3 linked regions of the Oryctolagus cuniculus genome follow. The protein of the gene in region 1 interacts with the protein of each later gene in a biochemical or structural test. Links are inferred from orthologs where the notes say so. Each region holds a gene or a part of one and is shown on either strand. Other genes may lie near its edges.

Region 1 (6,701 bases):
GGCCATAATGGCTACAGCTGGGATGGTCCATCTCAGGAACCAAAAGCTTCCTCTGGGTCTCCCCTGTGGGTGCAGGAGCCCAAGGACCTGGGCCATTCTCTGCCACTTTCCCAGAAACAGTAGCTGGGAGCTGGATCAGAAATGCAGTAGCTGGGACAAGAAACTGGCACCCGCATGGGATGCAAGCACTGCAGGGGGCAGCTTTACCCCCTGCACCACAGTGCTGGTTCCAAGGTGTAGCCATTATAAAGGGCCCTTCTCATACATTATGCCACACACTAGTCTTTGAATTGTGCTCTATAAAATTCTGTCAGAATTCTTTGGAAACGCATCAGAGACAACTCTCTCTTTCATCCTCAGTCATAGTAGCTCAGGTTTTACAGGTGTTTTACTTATTTGGCGTCTGTAATTTGCATGCATGTTGTGAAGTTAAGATAGCCACTGTTTTATGTAATCAACAATTCACTAATTTTCTCCTTTTTAAACCACATTATCTGAAACAGGCATATAACATATGGTGAAAAGCAGAGACTCTGGAACCAGAGTGCCTGGGTTTGAACGGCACTCACTGGTCATTTCCTAACTCAAATCACATTGGGAAAATTACTATATCTGCAAAATGCGGCTATTGTGAAGATTAGATTAGTTAACAGCAAATAGAGCATTTAGACAGCCAGGAATGTGTAACTGCTAAGTACGGCCTACCAACACCACCACTGGATTTCTGTTTATTTAAGGTCTTCACAGTTCATATTTTAGTTTCTCTTTCACAGGTCATTTTTGCTTTTCTTTTGTCCTGAAAGAAAATTTGAACAAGGATGAATACTTTTCTCATTTTAGGAATCTTACCTTCCAAGTTTTTGCCCTTCTCCACTGAAAGCCTTGAACCTCAGCCTAGGTTTTACATATTCTTGATCCTGATGGTCCTCCATGTCCAGACTCAGTTGGCCTTCATGAACCAGTCGCTGAAGCTCCAAGGGAATCTCTCTTGAAAAAAGGGAAAAACATTTAAGCTTTCTAAAGATTACTGTCATCAAATCATGAGCTACACCGCAGAACAGCAATTTCTGCTTACATTATCAAATAAGTTGAGTGTCCCTTATCAGAAAGGCTTATGACCAGAAGTGTTTTAATTTTAGAATATTGGCATTATACATAATGAGGTAACTGTAGGATGGGGTCCAAGTCTAAACACAAAATTCACTTATGTTTCATATATACCTAATACATATAGCTTCAAGGTATATTTATATTGTACTTTAGGTGCACCTGCATTTTGACTAGACCTGTCACATGAAGTTAAACGTGAGATTTCTCATTGTGGCAACATGTCAATGCTCAAAAAGATCCAGAGCCGGCGCTCTCGTGAGACCCGGAAGAAGCTCCTGGCTTCAGATCGGCGCGTCTCTGGCCACTGCGGCCATCTGGGGAGTGAACCAGCGGATAGAAGACCTCTCTGTCTCTCTCTCTATAACTCTGTCTTTTCTATATGCCACATTTGTTTCAGTATTAGCCTACAAAGTTTATAGATTTTTACTTAACAATAAATTAGTCTTAATATATATCACTGTACTCTGATTATCAGTATTTTTTCTTCCACTATCGTAAAATCAGCATCATAGAAACAGTAATGCTGGATTTCACCACAGAGGACCATCTCTGCCCCCCAAACGCTCCTACCTCTTCTCACTGATTCCTCAGGTTCCTATATCCATAGCATTGATTCAAACTATTATATTCTTGTGTTTGCCACTACCACACACTGCCTCCTAGGATAGCTTCTCACCTTTCTTAAGGTCTTCAGCATACTGCTTATAGCACTACTTACCTTTGTCTGGTATCCTGACATCATTTGTGCAAAATTTACATTAAAAATTCATGCTAAGTCATCTGGTCCCTTCCTATTACTACATCTTCCAGCTTATTGTCATCTTTATCTCCTTAGTTGTGCTGCTACTTAGGAATAATTCCATGTCAGCTAGTGAAATCTGTATCACAGAAAAGCTTTTATCATCAAAGCAAAAATCACTTGATTCTTCATCCTGTAGCAATAAGGACTGATGAGTTGATATTATTTTTCAGTTGGCTTAGAGTACTATCTCTCTGGACTACTTTCACAAATTATCACTTTAAATTAACTGTTTGAACTACCTGCCAGTAGTAATGCCACTTTAAAGAGTTCTCATACAAGCTGCTGAATTTCAGGCAAGTGTGCAGTGTAAGTCACCCTGTCACCAGTAAGCAGGACAATGCTATAGCGGACGGGCAGCTACATGCTAACCAATTTCCTGATCTCTTATATTAAGATGTTTCTGCTTAGAGTTGGGTCATGGTTTCATCAAGATTTTTAAAACGGGGCCAATATCCAACGTCCCATGTCCCTTCCCCTCAAAGCCAGAAGTAGTGACTGAGACAGCAATACAGCCTTTACATACTTGGGAAAAAGGCCCATTCTCCCAGCAATCACTTACATAATACTGTCTAGTAATCAACTCTTGAAAAGCAGAAGGGCACACCACTAAATAGTCATCTGGTTAATGGGAAAAAAAAAAGCCCCATTCCAAGTAACAGAATACAAATAATGTATCTTACCCTCTCTTAACAGACTCCAAAAACTGAGCATTTGTTGGGTCACTGTAAGGTCTCAATTCTCCATCATCTAAGCTGAAACCATTGCTCCACAGTTTAAGCAAAACCTGAACCTGTGAGATAAGGAGTAGGGGAGAAACCATTTCCATCAAACAAGGCTAAGTTTTCCAATGTGGTATCTCACAGAACATTACACTGCTACTTAGATTTAAAATAGGAATTTATCCCTATTGTGCTTTATTCAGTTTGCTTAGCAGACTAGCATTCAGTTTAACAAATGATAATGGCTGAAAATACCAAAGGTTCCACAGCTTGACCCTGACCTCGAAGCACAACTACCAGTAAAAGAAAACAGAAGACGGCACCCAGCTATGATCCCACTACTCCCACCCTTCCTCTTCTCTGCTACAGAGCTTAAATACTCATGATAAAGGGCAAGAGAAGTCCCAATGTGCTTCTACGAAAATTATAAATGCTGAAAATGAAACTATAATTCCAACATTTTAAAAGGCAACAGAAACAAAGAATGACTTTAGTGTCTATGTTTACAACCCAGCTCATTATACCAACTATAATCATTATCACAATATATGACACTTTTAAAAACAATTTTCTTTGAAAAACAGAGAGATTGGGACATACAGGGAGGGAGACTGAGTGAGCTACTATCTGGTGGCTCACTCCCAAATGCCCACAATGGCTGGGGAGACCAAAGTCAGGAGCTGAGAACCCAATCCACATCTCCTCCATGGGTTGCAGGAAGTCAACTATTTTAAACATCACCCTTGACTGCCAGGGTCTGCACTGGCAGGAAACTGGAATCAGAAGCCAGAGCCTGGTATGTAACCCAGGCACTCAAATGTGAGAAACAGGTATCCTAACCAGGGGCTTAGCCAGTAGGCCAGATACTTGGCCTGTAAGCCCATTTTGACAGTCACCTACACATTCTTTCAACAATCAGTTATGTACCTCTAAGTATAAGGCATGAATGAGATACATGATACAAAAATTTACACTGAGACCTTACACATTGATCCTTTGAATAAAGCTTCAAAAGTTAACAAAGAAATTTATATTCTTGGTTTTAAATTTCAAAATTAAAAGTAGTAACCAAAGGAAAATATCTATCAATTTTCATTTTGAGTACTATACCTACATCTTGCAGCTGATTTTCTCCATAGATGTATTCAGACCGCTTACAAAAGGAATTTCCCAACCTGTATCCTCCACCTGTAAAAGACTACAATAAAAGTAAGATAAAAATTGAGTTAAAGGTTTATTAAGTAAAGTGTAATTACAAATTGTGATGTACTATAAACTAGATAATCAAATTAAGATGAGCATTTATGCACTGGAATGGGTATTTTCAAGTGTAGCTAAGGTATTTTTAAGCTACCATTACAATGTTATGACAAGTCTTAGAGTAAAGGAAGAATTTTATCAATGAGTCTAAATGACCCTGAAGAAAAGCTATAAGCTTATTTTATAAGCTATTTGGATTCAACTGTAACAAGTCAGCTCTGATTAGACTTTTTATTTTGCTATACTAATCACAAGTTCTTCCATTCATCAGGTAGGGCGGATTCTAAGTAAAAATACTGTTCTTTCTAATCACTCCTAATATCCTCAATGATCTAATTGTCACATTTTTTTTTTTTGTCCATACAGACTAAATCATCAATTCTACATTTTTTTAAAATGGAAGCAGAGAGCTTGCAAGAACCAAAGTGACTTTAAGACTTGACTGAGGGGTTGGTGTTGTGGCATAGCGGGTTAAGCCACTGCCTGTAGTACCAGCACCCCATATGGGTGCTAGTTCGATTCCTGGCTGCTCTACTTCTGATCCAGCTCCCTGCTAATGCACCTGGGAAAGCAAGAGAAGATGGCCCAAGTGCCTGGTCCCCTGCCACCCATGTGCGAGATACAGATGAAGCTCTTGCTTCCTGGCATTGGTCTAGCCTAGCCCCTACAATTTGGGGAGTGAACCAGCAGATGGAAGATCTGTCTGTTTCTCCCTCTTTCTCTCTAACTTTGCCTTTCAAATAAATAAATAAATCTTAAAAAAAAAAAAAAAAGACTTGACTGAGAAAGCATTTCAAGCTGTTGACAGATAATAAAAACTAAAATTTGTTTCATCAGAATAGTTCTCCATATTGATATCAAAATCAATATGGAGAAGACATGCTTTTTCAGCAGACACTCATCTAGGAACACCTCCAACCTTCTAAGCCATCGTATGCGAGTTCATGTGGGAGTTTAGAAGACCTCACCGAGTGACTGTGATTGGAGAATTCCAGGCTGAGAATGCTGATTATGGGAATAAATAACAATTAGACATAAAGACACTTGAAGTCTTCAATACTCCAATACTGAGATGGCTGATAAAAAAGCTATATTAATGCTCAACAGAAATCTAATAAGGTACAAAAGCACTTTCACAAAGAATGGTGAACCTTTTCAACAAATACATTGGGGCAACTGGCTATCTATAAGCAAAAAAGGAAACAATATAAATCTCACATTTTACATAAAACTAACTCAAAATGAATCATGGGCTTAAGTGTAAAATGCAGACTATGTAACTTTTTTGGATAACATGGGCAAGAATGAGTGGTTCTAAGGTTTGGTGAAAGTTCTTAGACAATAACAGAAGCATGATCCACAAAAGAAAATAAAAACCTGAAAAACTGGACTGCATTAAAGTTTAAAACTTTTGCTCTGCAAAATTCCAATTAAGAGGATGAAAATATAAATTATAGTCTGAGAGTATCTGTAAACCATATCATTCGACAAAGGACCCATACTTATTAAAATATTTTAAAAACTCTCAAAACTCAATAATAACCAATGGGCAAAAGTCATAAAGAGATATTTCACTGAAAAGAGTAAAAAATATGGCAAACAAGCACATGAAATGATGTTCAACACCACTAACAATTAAGAAAATGCAAATTAACATTATCACTCATTGGGGAAATGCAAATTCAAACTACAGTATGTTATCACTATACAACTATCAACATGGCTAAATCAAAAATAGTGACAATGTCAAATGCTTATAGGATAAAGAGAAATAGTCTCTCATACACTGAGAATATAGAATGGTATTACCATTCTGGAACACAGTTTGGCAGGTTCTTTAAACTCAACACGGACTTACCATATGACTCAGTAACTGCACACCTGAGCATTTATGCTATAAAAACTAGAATTCATCTGTAGACAAACCTATGTATGATTGCTCACAGCAGTTTTATTTGTGATAATCAGCATCTAGAAACAGCTAGAATGGCCCTGAATAAATGAATGGTCAAACCTGTGGTACATCCATACCATAAATGCAACTTAGAGAAAGAACAGTCTTGATACATGGGATAACTTTGAAGTACCTTGAGGGCACTATGCCAGCTGAAAAAACTACTCCCAAAAGATTTACCTATTGCGTGATATCATTTTTATAACATTTTTAATGTTACAAAATCACAGAGATGGAAAAAGAGAGTAGTGATGGCCAGAGGTTAGAGAGTTAGTGTAGGAGAAGATAGTGGGCATGACTACAAAGGGGTACAACATGAGTAGCTTTGTAATGATAGAATGGTATCATGATTGAGTTATATAAATCTACAAGATAAAATTTTTTGACACAGAGTGTATTAATAGCAAATTCATGGCTTAAATATTGTCCTACAAAGTTCAAGAAGTTTGTGAAAAATGGAATTAATTGATAAATTTTCATGCAGAAAAATGTCAAAATTCATGTACACAGGGTTTCTTTAAAAGGTATGTAGAAATGCATATGATAAAAAAACTATGAAGAGATTTCAAAGTACTTTGAATTAAATTTACCTTTTTGAAATAAATTTATCTTTTAATTTCATTTTCCACAAATTTCATGAAGTCCTCTCTTATAATCATGCAAAGTAGAACCATTTGGGGAAACTACATGAAATAGGTGAACAGTATGTGAGACTTCTGTCTATACTTTTTGCAAATTTCTGTCAATTAACAGACAGGCAATAATCCTATAACATGAAATATTAAAACAAATATACAATTAGAAAACCAATGTTTGCTTATAAAAGAAGAATAGGAGATCAGATATAGAAATAGTA
Region 2 (7,420 bases), on another chromosome or scaffold:
ATAACCAAATTATGCATCTGTATTTTATATGTATGGAAATACAAATGTCTTCATAAAGTCCATGGAAATGGAATTGAAAGACTGTTTTGGTGCAAGAAAAATTCAAAATCCATGCAAAGAACGAACTTCTAAAAAGTTCATGGAAAATGTGTATTACGAAAAACTATGTTTGAATTTCAAAAAGTTTTTGCACCAAAATAAATTCCATTTTCCAGGACTTTTTGAAGTGTCTTCGTGTTTGTATGTATATGGTTTAACTTTTTTTTAAATTTATTTATTCCTTTATTTGAGGGTCAGGCTTAGCTGAAGCCCCAAGCCAGGAAGTCAGTCTGGTTCCTCCAAATGGGTATCAGGGACCCCACTACTTGAAACATCACCTGCTGCCAGGAGTGCACACTGGCAAGAAACTAGACTGGGGACTGGAGCAGGACTCAAACCTGAGCACTTGGATATGGGATGTGGACGTCTTAACCTCTAGGCCAGGTGCCTGTCCCTGGTTTTTCAAATGAGCTATGCAGTACATGTTAAATCTTGCTTTTTTCAATTTGAACCAAAAATTTGCAAGAAGTACAAATACATAGCTCAGGCACAATATAAAACATTCAAGATCTGATTGTGGGAAATCAGTATTCTATCTGCTGGTTTCCTCCCCACATGCCTGCAGCCAGCGTGGGCTGTGCCAAGGCCAAAGAGGAGCCAGGAACTCAATTCAGGTCTCCATCACTGCTGCCTTCCAGCGGCTGCATTAGCAAGAAGCTGGAGGCAAGCACTGAACCCACTCTGATGAGAGACGTGGGTATCCTAACCGGTGGTTCAACCACTAGGCCAAAAACCCTCTCGCTCCTTCGTTTACATGGTGATTGAGAGACAAATGCAGTGACAGTTATCTTGTAATTGTGTGCCCCATATGCATTCAGAGACCTTAATGTACATTGTGCGCCCCCCCCATCCCCCTTTCCACAGCAACTTAACACAGGCAGGGAGTCTTGCCCCACTGTACATGGGAACTGGCTGCCAATCTGACTTTCCTAACCCACTACTGAAATCTCAAACAGATTGTTCTTGTTTCAGTCCTACTTTAGGCCTCTCTGGCCCACAACACAGGATGAAGTAAGAGGGTTTTTTTTTTTTTAAGAATTATTTTTATTTACTTGAAAGAGTTACAAAACAAGGGAGAGAGAGAGGTTCACTGGTTCACTCCCGAATGACCACAAAGGCCAGAGCTGAGCTGATCCGAAGCCAGGAGCTTCTAGGTCTCCCACGTGGGTGCAGGGGCCCAAGGACTTGGGCCATCTTCCACTGCTTTCCCAGGCCATAGCAGAGAGCTGGAACGGGAGCAGAGCAGCCGGGACTAGAATCGGAGCCCATATGGGGTGTCGATGCTGCAGGCTGGGGCTTAACCCGCTGCGCCACAGCGCTGGCCCCCACGGTTTCTTAGCAAAGCACACAAGGCCTTCTATGGAACCACTACTAACCTGTCAGTTTTCACCATGCCCTACCTAGCTCACATCCCGGCAGTACAAAACTGCATTTGCTTCCGCACACATTTAAGACTTTGTAAACTGCTCTCTGCCTCAGAAAGAGAAGTCTGTTCTGCTGGTTCTTGCTTTACCATTTGTTTTGATGAGAAACTTGCGCTTAATTTTTATAAAATGACCTATACTGTAACTTAAACTTTGCTTTAAACCTATTCATCATCCCAGAGAATGACAGTATATAAATCCAGTTTCACTGATGATTTGCGGGGCTCGCCTGTCTTCCCCTCTAGGCTGGGGGCTAAAAGGCAGGATCTGGGCGTCTTGCGCATCGCAGCCTCAAAGCCTGGCACACTCCCCAGCCGAAGGTGCACTAAGTGTCCTGCTCAAATCCTACAGCACAGGGAGAGAACCCAGGCGGCTTGCTCCTTACCCAGTTCCTCCAACGGCGCCCAGGGCCCGATTCTCTTTAGGGAAGAAAGCCGACAGAGGGTCGAGCCTATCGCCCTGTTTCCCCGCCTTGCCGCCCACCCAGGGTCACGGCTACAGGACGACTTAAGTTGGTGCACCGCCCACCTCCCCGACTCGCTACTACGTCCGCAGATTCACACCGGATCCTACCCTCCCTCTTCACCGCCGGTGGGAGCGCGTCGGCCACCCAGGACCAGCCCCTCCTCCCTTACCCGCAGTGACGCCCCTTCCACTAAATTTGGTCTCCGGAGGGCGGCGCCTGCGCGCTTCCGTATTACGGCGGAACTAATCAGTCGACGCCTGCGCTTTGACGCATCTGGTGCAGGGAAGGGAAAGGGAGGGGGACTGCAGATGCGTCACACCCGGAAGCAGAGAGCCGGAAGTGGGGTTGGACAGGTTATCCCCAGGGGTGGGGAAGCGGAGGCCCAGGAGGAGGGGGAAAAAGGCGGAGGATCCTGGCTACTACTCTGAATCGGACACCGGTTCTCTTAGATCTGAGACACAGAAAAAGGGAGAGGCGTCTCCTTCCCCTTCCCTCTTCCCTCTCAGCCGTAGCCATGGCCGAGGCAGGGGCCGGGCTGAGTGAGACCGTCACTGAGACAACGGTTACCGTGACAACCGAGCCCGTGAGAAAGGAGGGGGCGGCGCTGCCTAGGGGTCTGGGAGACCCGGGGAGGGAGGAGGGCACGGGGCCTCGGAGAGCTGTGGAGGAATGGGCCTGTGGACCTGGGGTGCGGGGATGAATGTCGGGTTAGGAGGACCACAGGGTACTGGAGATACTGGGAGTGGCGGAGGTGCTTACGGCTGGTCAAGAGACAAGCAGCAGGAAGTTAGACGGTGCTGTTGGGGCGGTACTGGGTAGAAGTAGTGAAAGAATGGAATGGAGGACTGGGGCAAGGAAGGTGCTGAGGAAAGGCTGTGTACTCGGTGTGGTTGGAGAGGGCGCTAGGGGACTCGGACCAGAAGCACACTTACCAGTAAATGCTGAGTGGATGAGTGTGAAGAGAAGTGGAGGGGGTGAAGGAACAAGAAAAAGAGACGGGATCGTGTTTTGAGAAATCAGAAAGAGGAGATGGAAAAACAAATTGCGTTTTGGTACAAACAAGCTAAATGGCTTTCCAAGAGAGAATGTTGCGTTGGACTTAATAACGTCTGGATTAAGGGAGTTTAGGAATTGGTAGTTCAGCAGTAGTCACTACCAGAGATGCCAGGATGCTAGGAAATAGGTGGATGACAGGTAGTGGAGCCTGAGCTTAAAGACGGGAGAGATAAGAATGTAGGTCCTTCTATAGTGAGAAAAAATAAGGGTCCAGAAAAAGAGAGGGAGAGCAGAGATTAGGCACTGAGATGATAATTTTCATGTATTAATACCACCAAGGATGTTTTGGGGAGGAAGACAGAAGCAGCAAGGATTCTACTTTTCTTTGAAGATTTGCTGGGACCTTCCCTAGATTAGGAATTGTGTCTCTGTGTATGCAAATAGTCCTCAGGAATAGGAAATAGCACTTATTCCTCAAGGGACTTAGTGAGGTCACAGGCCTGTTCTGTCCAGACCCGTGCTATTTTGTCTTCTTCCAGCACTCAGCTCCTCTGCTTCTGTGTCTGTGGTACTGATTGAGCTGGGGAAGTGAGGAGGGGAGTGGGAAGGGGAAGGGTCAGGAGGAGCTAGACAGGTATGCCCATCCCTCTTACCCTTCTAGGAGAACCGGAGCCTAACCATCAAACTTCGGAAACGGAAGCCAGAGAAGAAGGTGGAATGGACAAGTGACACTGTGGACAACGAACATATGGGACGCCGCTCATCAAAATGTAAGTAATTGTGGGCCCACAGTAGCCATGGGATGTTTTTATTTTTTTAAATATGTATTTATTTAAAAGAGAGAGAGGGAGAGAGAGAGAGAGAGAGATTCTTCCATCTGCTGGTTCACTCCCCAAATGGCCACAACTGCCAGGGCTGGGGCGGGCCATCCAGGAACCTGGAACTCCATCCAGGTCTCCCACATGGGTAGCAGAGGTCCAAATTACTTGGATCATCTTCCGCTCCTTTCCCAGGTACATTAGCAGAGAGCTGGATCAGAAGTAGAGCAACCAGGACTAGAACTGGTGCTCATATGGGTTGCTGGTGTCGAAGGTGGAGGCTTCATCCACTGCATCACATGGCCAGCGCCAAGCCATGGAATTCTTGCATTTCCTGGCCTTGCAGAAGCCCTCAGGTGGTCATAGTCCTTTCACTTTCTTGGTGGTTCTCTGGCATCAGGAAAAGGAAGTTAAAGATGTAGGAGGGGCTAGAACTGGGATGTGCCAAGGCCTAAAGGCAAGAGGTACCAGAGGTTAGAGAAGTGGGATTTTGGACAGTGGGTTCAGGTGCCTGAGTACCAGGGAGCAGGCCTGGAGAGGCTGGATCCTGGAAGGTAGGGGAAGACAGTGAAGTCGCTACTTCCACTGAAATCCAGTGGGAACGGAATGCACTATACATTTTACTCTTTCTCCTTTTTAACTGGACTCCTCCTTCCACATTCAGGCTGCTGTATTTATGAGAAACCTCGGGCCTTTGGTGAGAGCTCCACGGAGAGTGATGAGGAGGAAGATGAGGGCTGTGGTCATACACACTGTGTACGGGGCCATCGCAGAGGACGGCGTCATGCAGCCCTGGGACCGACTCCCAGCACCCCTCCCCAGCCTCCTGACCCCTCCCAACCCCCTCCAGGGCCAATGCAGCACTAAATTCCTCTCTCCCCCACCATTCCTGTGTCTGTCTGGCCCTGAATGTGTCCATGTGGCTACTTGGGGACTAAACCCATGGTTTCATCCCTTCTCCAGCCCACTCCTTCCCTATTCTCTACCAGATAGAGAGAAAAGGAAGAGGAAGTGGACAGGGATCCTGGAATTCTGACTTGCTGCTATTCCAGAACCCAGGTTTCTGGGTTTCCCTCAGCCCTCATTTCTCCTCTCAATACCCACCCTCCTCTCTCCAGGGATCCAGGCATTTGGTCCCAGTCTCCTCCCTTTGTTCTCACTGCCAAACTGCCTGTCCTGGGATCCAGTAATCTTGGCCCCCTGCATTCTCAACTTGAGTCCCAAATACTTAAATTGAGTTTCCAACTGTCTTAGCTTTCACTGCCAGGGTCCCAGTCAGATTCCAGGCAATCTCACCTTAGCTATGCTTGTTAATTCTGGCTTAGAGCTCCTCTACTAAAGTATTTATGTAACCCAATTCTGTCCTTGCCTGTGGGATATGAGGTCTTGTGAGAGACCTCAGGCCTTCCAGCCCCTCCCCTCCTGCCTATACTTCATGCACTCAAGAGGAATTAGGAGAGAGGTCTTTGTTCTTCTCACCTCTAATGGAAAATAGCCTTGTCTTCTGTGCCCACAATTGCCATGTGAGTTAGGATTTCTGACAAAGCTGGCTTGAGACAGGTCAGTTAGAGCCAACTATCTCCTCAGCCTGTGGTCTTTGAGCTTCAGAGAGAGGTACAACATAGTCGCAGGGTCCCTAGTCTATGCAAGGAGATGAGTGTGTGTCCCCTGTACTGCACTCTTGCCCCTTCCTTCCAAGGCTTTGATGTCTGCCAGCCCCAATGTCCCGCTCTCTCCACCTTCCCTGCCCCTTACTCTGGGATCTGGTCATCATTTTCCAGGCCTCTTGCCATGCACAGTTATCAGAGATCAATCAAATCCATACCACCACTGAGATCTCGTTTATTGCCACAGATGCGCAAAATAAATAACCCAACATTGCAAAATGTGTTAAATACGGGCCCATTTCTATGTATGGGGAGAGATGTGAGACTGTACAAGGGTGAGTCTGGGAATGTTTGGACCATTCCCAGGTTGAGGAGCGGAGAGGTAGCACCATTGGTTCCTTTCTGAGAGTATGTGCAGGAAGAAGTTTTAGAGGCTTATTGGGAAAAGGCTGTGAGCACAGCAAGAAGTCACTTAAGGAAGGTAGACTAGAACTGGCTTGCTCAGTTCCCCACCCTAAAGGGTATTTAAGCATCGGAGAGGCCCTAGGGCCCAGCCCTCAGTCAAGCCTCTTGTCTCCTGAAGAGAAACCTCAGAGTGGACAGCACAGGGGGGAAACACAAGCCTTAGAACTCTGGAGAAGGCACTGAACCCTTCTTTGGAGCTGGACAAGGCAAGAGTGGGAGTTAAATGTGTGACTAGCAAGGCCTCTGTAGTAATCACAGGGCGTTTATCAATCCTGGGGGCATAAGGGCTTCTTCCCCCAGTGCAGGTCTGGAACAGTGTAGAAGGGGAGGGCTCAGCAGTGAGGAGAGATTCCCAAGAGGGAGGGAGCAGGAATGAATTCAGCTTTAGGCATGGATGTGGAAAACCTGAGGCCGGTTGAGGTCTTACCTGGGTGTGTGGGGGGAGATAATGTGTACTGGCAGGGGTGCTTATCTGTACTCAAATGGGCCTATGGACAGGATCCCTGGAATCATTTCCACCTCCAGGATGGCTGGGTCAAACTACCAAGAGGGTTGGAGGCGACGCTCAGCCTTCCGCTGGCACAATGCGGAGCGGGGCTCGGGGATCGTGGGTGCAGAACAGCGGGAAGACGCGCTCCCCTAGGGGACCGGGCGCCTGGAAGGCGAAGAGCAGGTCCAGCGAGAGGCCGTCGTAGAAAGCCACGCGGCCTCGCTCCCAGTCCAGGTCCACCCGAATGCGCCGTGGTGGGGGCCCGGCACCACCCAGCAGGGTAGGCTCCGGTGCCGTGAGAGCCCACAGGCGGCCGCCACGGCCTTCCACGGCCCACACGGCCCCCGCAGGGCTCAGCTTTACGCTGCCCTTGCGTTGCACCGATTCCCCGGCCGCGCCCACGGCATAGCGGCTCTCCCCGTCGTCTTCGTCCTCCCCTGAATAGTCTCTACAGGAGGCTGCGTCTGCGGTCTCCACCTCCCAGCAGTGGCGGCCCGCCCCGAAGCCCTGCGCGCCCAGCACCGCGGGGAGCTGATCAAAGCGCGCGGGGCCATCACAGGGCGCAGGAGTCCCTGGGGGTGCCAGCCGGACGCTGCGGCGGTCGGCAGAGATGAGCAGGAGGCGGTGTGCGGTGCCAGGGTCCAGGGTCAGGTCAGCTGGGGAAGAGAAAGCAGAGAGAGAACAGTGTGAGAGGGGTTTCTGAACCAGAAGGGTAAGACTACTAGTGCAGGACTCCTAAGAGACCCTGCAACAGCTCAGAAGTCAGCTGTGAGACCAAAAAGGGACAAATATGAAGAGCAGGCTTGGCAAGACCTGGACCTGCGCACGATGCCCTGCTTTTGTACAGCTGGACCTGGAGAAGAATTATGCTGACCCAGGGCACAGATGAAAGGACCATTTGGCTTGTGGGAGAAGAGTGAGTCTGATGAGAGTAGGGGAGGAGTGAGGACTGATACCTCAATCTGCAGCATCTAGGGTAGGGCAGGAGCTGGGTCAGCTGCAAGGGGCAGGTGAATCAGAGACTGATACTTGATACTGGAACCCCAAGCAACAGC
Region 3 (6,701 bases), on another chromosome or scaffold:
TGAGCTCAGTGTGGTTATTGTCAGGTGAAACGTGCGGCTTGTTCTAGAGTGTGGTGAGCTGACCAGAGGGAAACTCAGCTATGCACAGTGCCCAGGCACCGGGGGAAGCAGACGGGACAGCCTGGTCCTGGCTTGGGAGGTGGAGGTGCACGGGTGCTGGCAGGACGTGTGGCTGCAGCGGGGGCAGCAGTGCGCAGCCTGGGAACAGTGCAGAGTGGACTCCGGATCCTGAAGTCCTAGGGTCAGAGCCCCCCGTGAAGGCCAAGGCTATTGTGAGCACAGAACCCGCTGGGCCTGCGAAGTCCTGTGTGCCAGGGGCTCTCAGGCTGTATCCTCACCCAGAGCTCTGACCACGTGGGGGTCAGGATCCTTCACCACTCTCCTGTGCCCGTGCCCGTGCCCGTGCCCTCACCCTGTTCTTTCATGCATGGGTTCGCGGGGAAGTCTGCAGAGCAGATATGGCCCAGGCATCTTCCCTCTCTGGTGAGCTTGGAGGTCTCCTTGCTCACCACTGCTCTGTCCTTTTCACAGGCAATTGAAAATATCGACACATTAACCAATCTGGAAAGTCTGTTTTTGGGGAAAAACAAAATCACTAAACTGCAGAACCTGGACGCACTTACCAACCTGACCGTCCTCAGCATGCAGGTACGGCTCCACACTTCCTGCAGGCCAGACCTGTGGCCCCAGCCCATTGTGGACCTCACTGTGTCCCACCAGCAGTGCTTTGCTTCCCTGTTGGTGACTGAGACCTTAGATCCCACAGACTTCACACACACACACATTCACACAGACTTCACACCCTGTTCTCACATGGTTCACACACAGACTTCACACTCAGACTTCACACACACATTCACACAGACTTCACACCCTGTTCTCACATGGTTCACATACAGTTCACACACAGACTTCACATATAGTTCACACACATGCAGACTTCACATACTTCATGCACACACATGCTTTGTATACACACTTCCACTGTATACACATACACTTCACATACACACACTTCCTGTCACACACTTTTTGTACACAGTTCACACACGTTTTTGGTAAGCATTTGTTTTATTTATTTGAAAGGCAGAGTTAGAGAAGGAGACAGAGAGAAATAAAGGGAGATTTTCCATCTGCTGGTTCACGTCCCACACCGCTGCAACAGCCAGGGAGAAGCCAGGAGCTTCTACTGAGCCTCCCACGCAGGTGCGGGGGCCCAAGCACTTGGACCATCTTCCACTGCTTTCCAGGCCATAACAGAGTGGGATCAGAAGTGAAGCAGCTGAGAATCGAACCAGCACCCATGTAGGATTCAGAGTTAGAGAGACACAGAGAGCGAAAGAGAGGTCTTCCATCTGCTGGTTCACTCCCCAAATGCCCTCAAGGGCCAGGCCAAAGCCAGGAGTCAGGAGTTTCATCCCGGTCTCCCACATGGGTGCAGGGGCCCAAGGACTTGGGCCATCTTCCACTGCTTTCCCAGATGCCGTGGGAAGAGCTGGGTCAGAAGTGGAGCAATGGGGGGCCGGTGCTGTGGCACAGTAGGTTAATCCTCCACCTGTGGTGCCAGCATCTCATATGGACGCCAGTTCTAGTCCCGGCTGCTCCTCTTCCGATCCAGCTCTCTGCTGTGGCCTGGGAAAGCAGTAGAATGTGGCCCAAGTCCTTGGGCCCCTGCACCCGCGTGGGAGACCTGGAAGAAGCTCCTGGCTCCTGGCTTCAGATCAGCGCAGCTCCAACTGTTGGCAGCCATCTGGGGAGTGAACCAACAGATGGAAGACCTCTCTCTCTCGCTCTCTCTCTCTCTGCCTCTCTTCTCTCTGTGTAACTCTGACTTTCAAATAAATGAAATAAATCTTTAAAGAAAATAAATAAATAAATATAGGACTTGAACCCATGCCCATATGGGATGCTGGTGTCACAGGCAGTGGCTTAACCTACTACACCGCAGTGCTGGCCCCACACTTCACACACTTCATACACACGTACTTTGTGTGCATACAACTCATGTACACACCTCATTCATGCCCCTCCACTCATACACAGGCACTTCACGTAAACCACATACACACACTCAGAAACACTTCACAAGGCCATACACACTCTTCACACACGTGCCATGTACAAACACTACATACACACACACACCTGCTGAACTGAAACGTTCCCAGGGAGTCCCAGGTGGCTTCAGCCGCAGGACCCTTTCAGCTGGTGGCGTGTGCTCTTGGCTCTCTCCTGGCGTCTGGCCAGGCGGTGGAAGCAGCGAGCACAGACCCGCAGACTCCCAGGGGCCTGTGCTGCCCCGTGGTGCTGAGTTCCTGGGAGCTTTCTTGCTGGAAGCAGCTCAGCGCGGTCAAGCTCGGGTGCACTGGGTCCTGGAGGCCGGCCGGCCCAGCCGTGGGCACGGAGAGCCGCTGTGACTGTCTGCGGCAGGTTGCCTGCCCACCGCCGGAAAACTCAGGCTGCGGTGGGTCCTGAAAAGCAGGAATGAACTTGTTTGAAAAGAATCATTTACTGCATGTGGGTGAAATGGTCGTTTTTCCATTCAGTTATTATTTGTAGCCATTGTCTTCCTACCAAATTCAGGTCTTTGAGCTTTCTACTTGTCAAACTTCTTACTTGATGAAGTATTAAGACTTTTTACTGTAATGCAAATCTAAAATGTTATCTCAAAAAGTGGAGACAGGAGACGGAGCAGGGTGGGGGGAGGGAGGAAAGGGACATCATGCTCTTAGTTGCATCTACAAATCTTTTTAAGAAAGTTTTTATTTAATGAATACAAATTTCATAGGTACAGCTTTAGGAATATAGTGGTCACATTGAATCCTAAAAACTAAAGATTAAGATAAAAAATAAATATTTTACAGATGGCTGTAAAAAGTAAACACCTTAAAAGTAAATATAATCAGCAATTTTGGAATTATTTTAAGTTTAATTAACTTGATTGATTTAAATGATTGAGGAATTATCAGAGTAAGGGCTGATGTTGTGGCCTAACACTGGCATCCCATACTGGGGTTCGGCCTGCTCTGCTTCCCCTCCACTTCCCTGCTGACGGCTTGGGAAAGCAGCTGAAGATGACCAAAGTGCCTGGGCTCCTGCCACCCCTGGGAGAGCCGGCTCCTGGCTTCAGCCTGGCCCAGTCCTGGCTGTTGCAGTCATTTGGGGAGTGAACCAGTGGATGGAAGATCTTTCTGTCTTTGTCTCTCCCTCTCTGTCTCACTCTGCCCTTCAAATAATTTTTTTTTTTTTTTTTAAAGATTTAAAGCCTGGACACGAGCTGGGGCCCACATGGGATGCCAGCATCGCAGGCAGCAAGTTTACTTGCTACACCACGGTGCCAGCGCCTCAAATCTTTAAAAAAAAAAAAATTAATCCAAGTAAAGCTTCCCCCAGTGTATCTATAAAGCGTGAGTTCCCACACTCCGTGCGAGAGCCTTGGCTGGCAGTGGCGGCCCCCTCTGCACGTGCTGGCCCTGCCTGCCCCACCGCGCTCTGACCGCTGTCGGCTCTCCTCTTTGCAGAGCAACCGGCTGACCAAGATCGAGGGTCTGCAGAGCCTGGTGAACCTGCGCGAGCTGTACCTCAGCCACAACGGTATCGAGGTCATCGAGGGCCTGGACAACAACGTAAGCCGGCAGCCTCGCACTGCGGCTACGCGCTCGCTGCCCGCAGCCGCCTCACTGCCCGCGCGCGGCCGCCCCACTGCCCACGGCCGCCCCGCTGCCCGTGGCCGCCCCACTGCCCACGGCCGAGACACTGCCCACGGCCGCCCCGCTGCCCACGGCCGAGACACTGCCCACGGCCGCCTCACTGCCCACGGCCGCCTCACTGCCCACGGCCGCCCCACTGCCCACGGCCGCCCCGCTGCCCATGGCTGCCCCGCTGCCCACGGCCGCCCGACTGCCCACGGCCGCCTCACTGCCCGCGGCCGCCCGACTGCCCATGGCTGCCCCACTGCCCACGGCCACCTCACTGCCCACGGCCACCTCGTTCCCCATGGCCGCCTCACTTCCCACGGCCGCCCCACTGCCCGTGGCCGCCCCACGGCCACCCGACTGCCCGCGGCCGCCCCACTGCCTGCGGCTGCCCCACTGCCCACGGCCGGAAGGTCTCTAAGGAGCGCTGGCTGCCGGCAGAGCTGCAGTAGCCTTCCCACCTGAAACCCGCACGGCCCTCGGCCAGTCCCCTCCACCCGTGTGGCGTGGGCGTCAGCAGCAGCCTCCCGCACTGGCGCTTCCCAGGGCGGTGGTCACTGCCTGTCCAGCCAGCATGTGGTCATTTGGGAGGAGTTGAGAAACCCTAGGCTTGTAGATGCCCCTGTTCCACAAGGAACCTGGACACCAGCAGCTGTCCCCTCCTTCTGGGCCCTGGCCTCTGAGCTGCCTGTGTCGCTCCCGGCCACCACCACCACTCTGAGGGACGCATGGAGGACTGGCTGCTCGCCGGCCACCCCCAGCTCAGCCAGCTTTCCTGTGCAGTAGCCACACCAGCTAGAACACGTTTTTGCTCATTTATTTGTATTATTTTAAGATTTATTTATTTATTTATTTGAAAGGCAGCGTTAAAGAAAGAGATCTTCCCTTGCTCGCTCACTCCCCAGGTAGCTACAGTGGCCAGAGCTGGGCTGATTTAAAGCCAGGAGCTTCTTCTGAGTCCCCCATGTGGGTGCAGGGGCCAAGAACTAAGGCCATCCTCCACTGCTTTCCCAGGTGCATTAACAGGGAGCTGGATCAAAAGTGGAGCAGCCAAGACTCGAACTGACACCCATATGCGATGTCGGTGTTGCAGGCAGCAGCTGTGCCGCTGTGCCGCGGCGCTGCCCCTGCACTGGTCGGTGTAACTCTGGTCTTTCCTGGTACTGGAGATGCTGTTTCCGTGTCCCAGCAAGGGCTCCCCCAGATCTCATTTCAGCGACTTCTTCAGGGTATTTTGGAAAGGGTGGCGTGTGCCTGTGGAGAGTTGGTCACCTCCCTTCAGCTTTGGGACTGACTTGGAGTTGATGGAGCCAGCGGGGGGCCAGGTGCCCAGTGGCAGCCGCGCAGGGAGCAGCAGTGCGCGGCCCCTGGGAGCGCTCACGGCCCCGCTGCCACGCCAGAGCCTGGCACCGCTGGTTCCGAGAAGCCGCAGGTGTGGCAGGCAGGCAGCACAGGGGCTCGGGCCGAGTGTGGGCTTGGTGAGGCGCCGGGGTCGCTCAGCCGCTGAGACGGAGACGTGACCCAGTGTGCAGGCCTTCCTGTCTAGTTCTCGCAAACCAAGCAGGCCTTCCCCTGACTTCTTCCAGTCTCACCTCACAGATCTGGACCCTGCGTGCGGCAGGAGGTGGGGAAAGTGGCCCCTGCCGTGGCCCCTGCACCGGAAGCTCTTCCTCACCCAGCCTGCGTGCACCCTCCCCACGCTGTGCCACTGTCGCTTCTCTCTCCTTCTCAGCAGTTCTGATTGGTTTGCTTCTGGAAGGCCATGCCGAACCTTGTCCAGCTCTCCCTAAAAGACATGCACTGGTGTCGCGTGCGTGGCCGGCCCCTGGGCCACAGCCTGGGCGGTGCTGATGAGCCAGAGTCCATCTGCCACTAGCCCCCTGCCCCAGTGCTGCACCCTCCAGTGTGGACCCCGCGGGCTGGGAGCAGCTTTGTCCACCAGGGCTGGGCTTGCGGTGACCTTGAGCCCTCTGGAGCGGGGCCCTCCTGGCCCTGCTCTGCAGGTCTGTTTGGAAGGCCCCAGCGCCGTGACCCACGTGGCAGTGCCCACGGCACCAGCGCAGGTCGGGGGCCAGGGCCCCGGAGCTCTGAGGTCAGCCATGGTGCTTTTGCGTGCAGAGCTGCCAGTCAGGTGCTGTGGTGTGTGTCTCACTGGAGTGTCTCGTGACTCAGATCTGGAGTCAGGAACGCACTCACGAGTACAGGGGTCCTCTGTGAGTAGTGGGTGAGCAGCGGCAGAGAGGACGGGGCGCGCTCTGGCCAGCGGGGCTTGGCTTGGTCGCCGTCGTGCCAGCAGGCAGTGGGTCCTGACGGCCCCAGTGCTGCCTACAGCCATCTTGTGTGCGGTGTCGGATCCACGCCAGAGGAAGCTCTTGCCCAGGCCTAGCTGTGTGCACGTCCTGGGACAGGAGAGCCTGCCGGCAGTGTGGTGGCGCTGTGTGTGCCTGCAGCTGTGCCTCGCCACCGCCAGCTGTCCAGTCCCGTCTGCCCAGGGCTCGCTCGCCGCACACCCAGGCCCTCCTGTGCCCCCCCACTCAGTCAGGAGGGCAGGCCCTCGTCCCAGAGTTGCAGGCTTCCTCTCCCTCGGCTCGCGGCGGTTTGCAGCCTCACTCGCAGAGGAGAGGAGCGCGCTTGGAAGCCTCCGTGCTGTGCCTGTGCTCGCGGTCAGCGCTAAGCAGCCCCCCAGAGCCGCCTGCTCACGGGGTCCCAGGGGCCACAGATTGGGTCTCAGCCAGTGGTGGTGAGGACTGGGGACATGGCTGTGTCCCACAGTGCTGGCCGACCCTCGGCCACAGCCCCGCTCAACTGTGGTGATCCATGTATTTCCTTATCCCAGAACAAACTCACAATGTTGGACATTGCATCGAATAGAATCAAGAAGATTGAAAATGTCAGCCACCTTACAGAGCTGCAGGAATTCTGGGTAAGTCTGGGGCTCGCCGAGACGGAGGTGGTGTGCAGCTGGGATCCTGAGGCCCAGGGCTGCGCCGGCCAGGGGCAGGTGTG

What was found.
Region 2: the proteins of UBXN2B (region 1) and PPP1R11 form a complex in vitro, tested with the Homo sapiens proteins (2 studies listed by BioGRID). The link is inferred for Oryctolagus cuniculus from reciprocal best matches to the Homo sapiens genes UBXN2B and PPP1R11.
Region 3: the proteins of UBXN2B (region 1) and PPP1R7 form a complex in vitro, tested with the Homo sapiens proteins (2 studies listed by BioGRID). The link is inferred for Oryctolagus cuniculus from reciprocal best matches to the Homo sapiens genes UBXN2B and PPP1R7.

The regions. Positions count from the first base shown.
Region 1 is NC_091437.1:83,595,104-83,601,804, reverse strand, and holds part of UBXN2B (UBX domain-containing protein 2B), read right to left. Parts: intron 3,830-6,701; coding exon 3,746-3,829; intron 2,703-3,745; coding exon 2,593-2,702; intron 988-2,592; coding exon 850-987; intron 1-849. UniProt on the Homo sapiens protein: Adapter protein required for Golgi and endoplasmic reticulum biogenesis. Involved in Golgi and endoplasmic reticulum maintenance during interphase and in their reassembly at the end of mitosis.
Region 2 is NC_091436.1:140,416,380-140,423,799, reverse strand, and holds PPP1R11 (E3 ubiquitin-protein ligase PPP1R11), read left to right. Parts: upstream 1-2,503; coding exon 2,504-2,677; exon of another isoform or gene 2,678-2,689; coding exon of another isoform or gene 2,690-2,696; intron 2,697-3,524; coding exon of another isoform or gene 3,525-3,553; intron 3,554-3,646; coding exon 3,647-3,755; intron 3,756-4,467; coding exon 4,468-4,670; 3' UTR 4,671-5,689; downstream 5,690-7,420. Other genes in the region: RNF39 (RING finger protein 39), read right to left, coding at 6,441-7,021. UniProt on the Homo sapiens protein: Atypical E3 ubiquitin-protein ligase which ubiquitinates TLR2 at 'Lys-754' leading to its degradation by the proteasome.
Region 3 is NC_091434.1:511,948-518,648, reverse strand, and holds part of PPP1R7 (protein phosphatase 1 regulatory subunit 7), read left to right. Parts: intron 1-531; coding exon 532-648; intron 649-3,521; coding exon 3,522-3,626; intron 3,627-6,531; coding exon 6,532-6,618; intron 6,619-6,701. UniProt on the Homo sapiens protein: Regulatory subunit of protein phosphatase 1.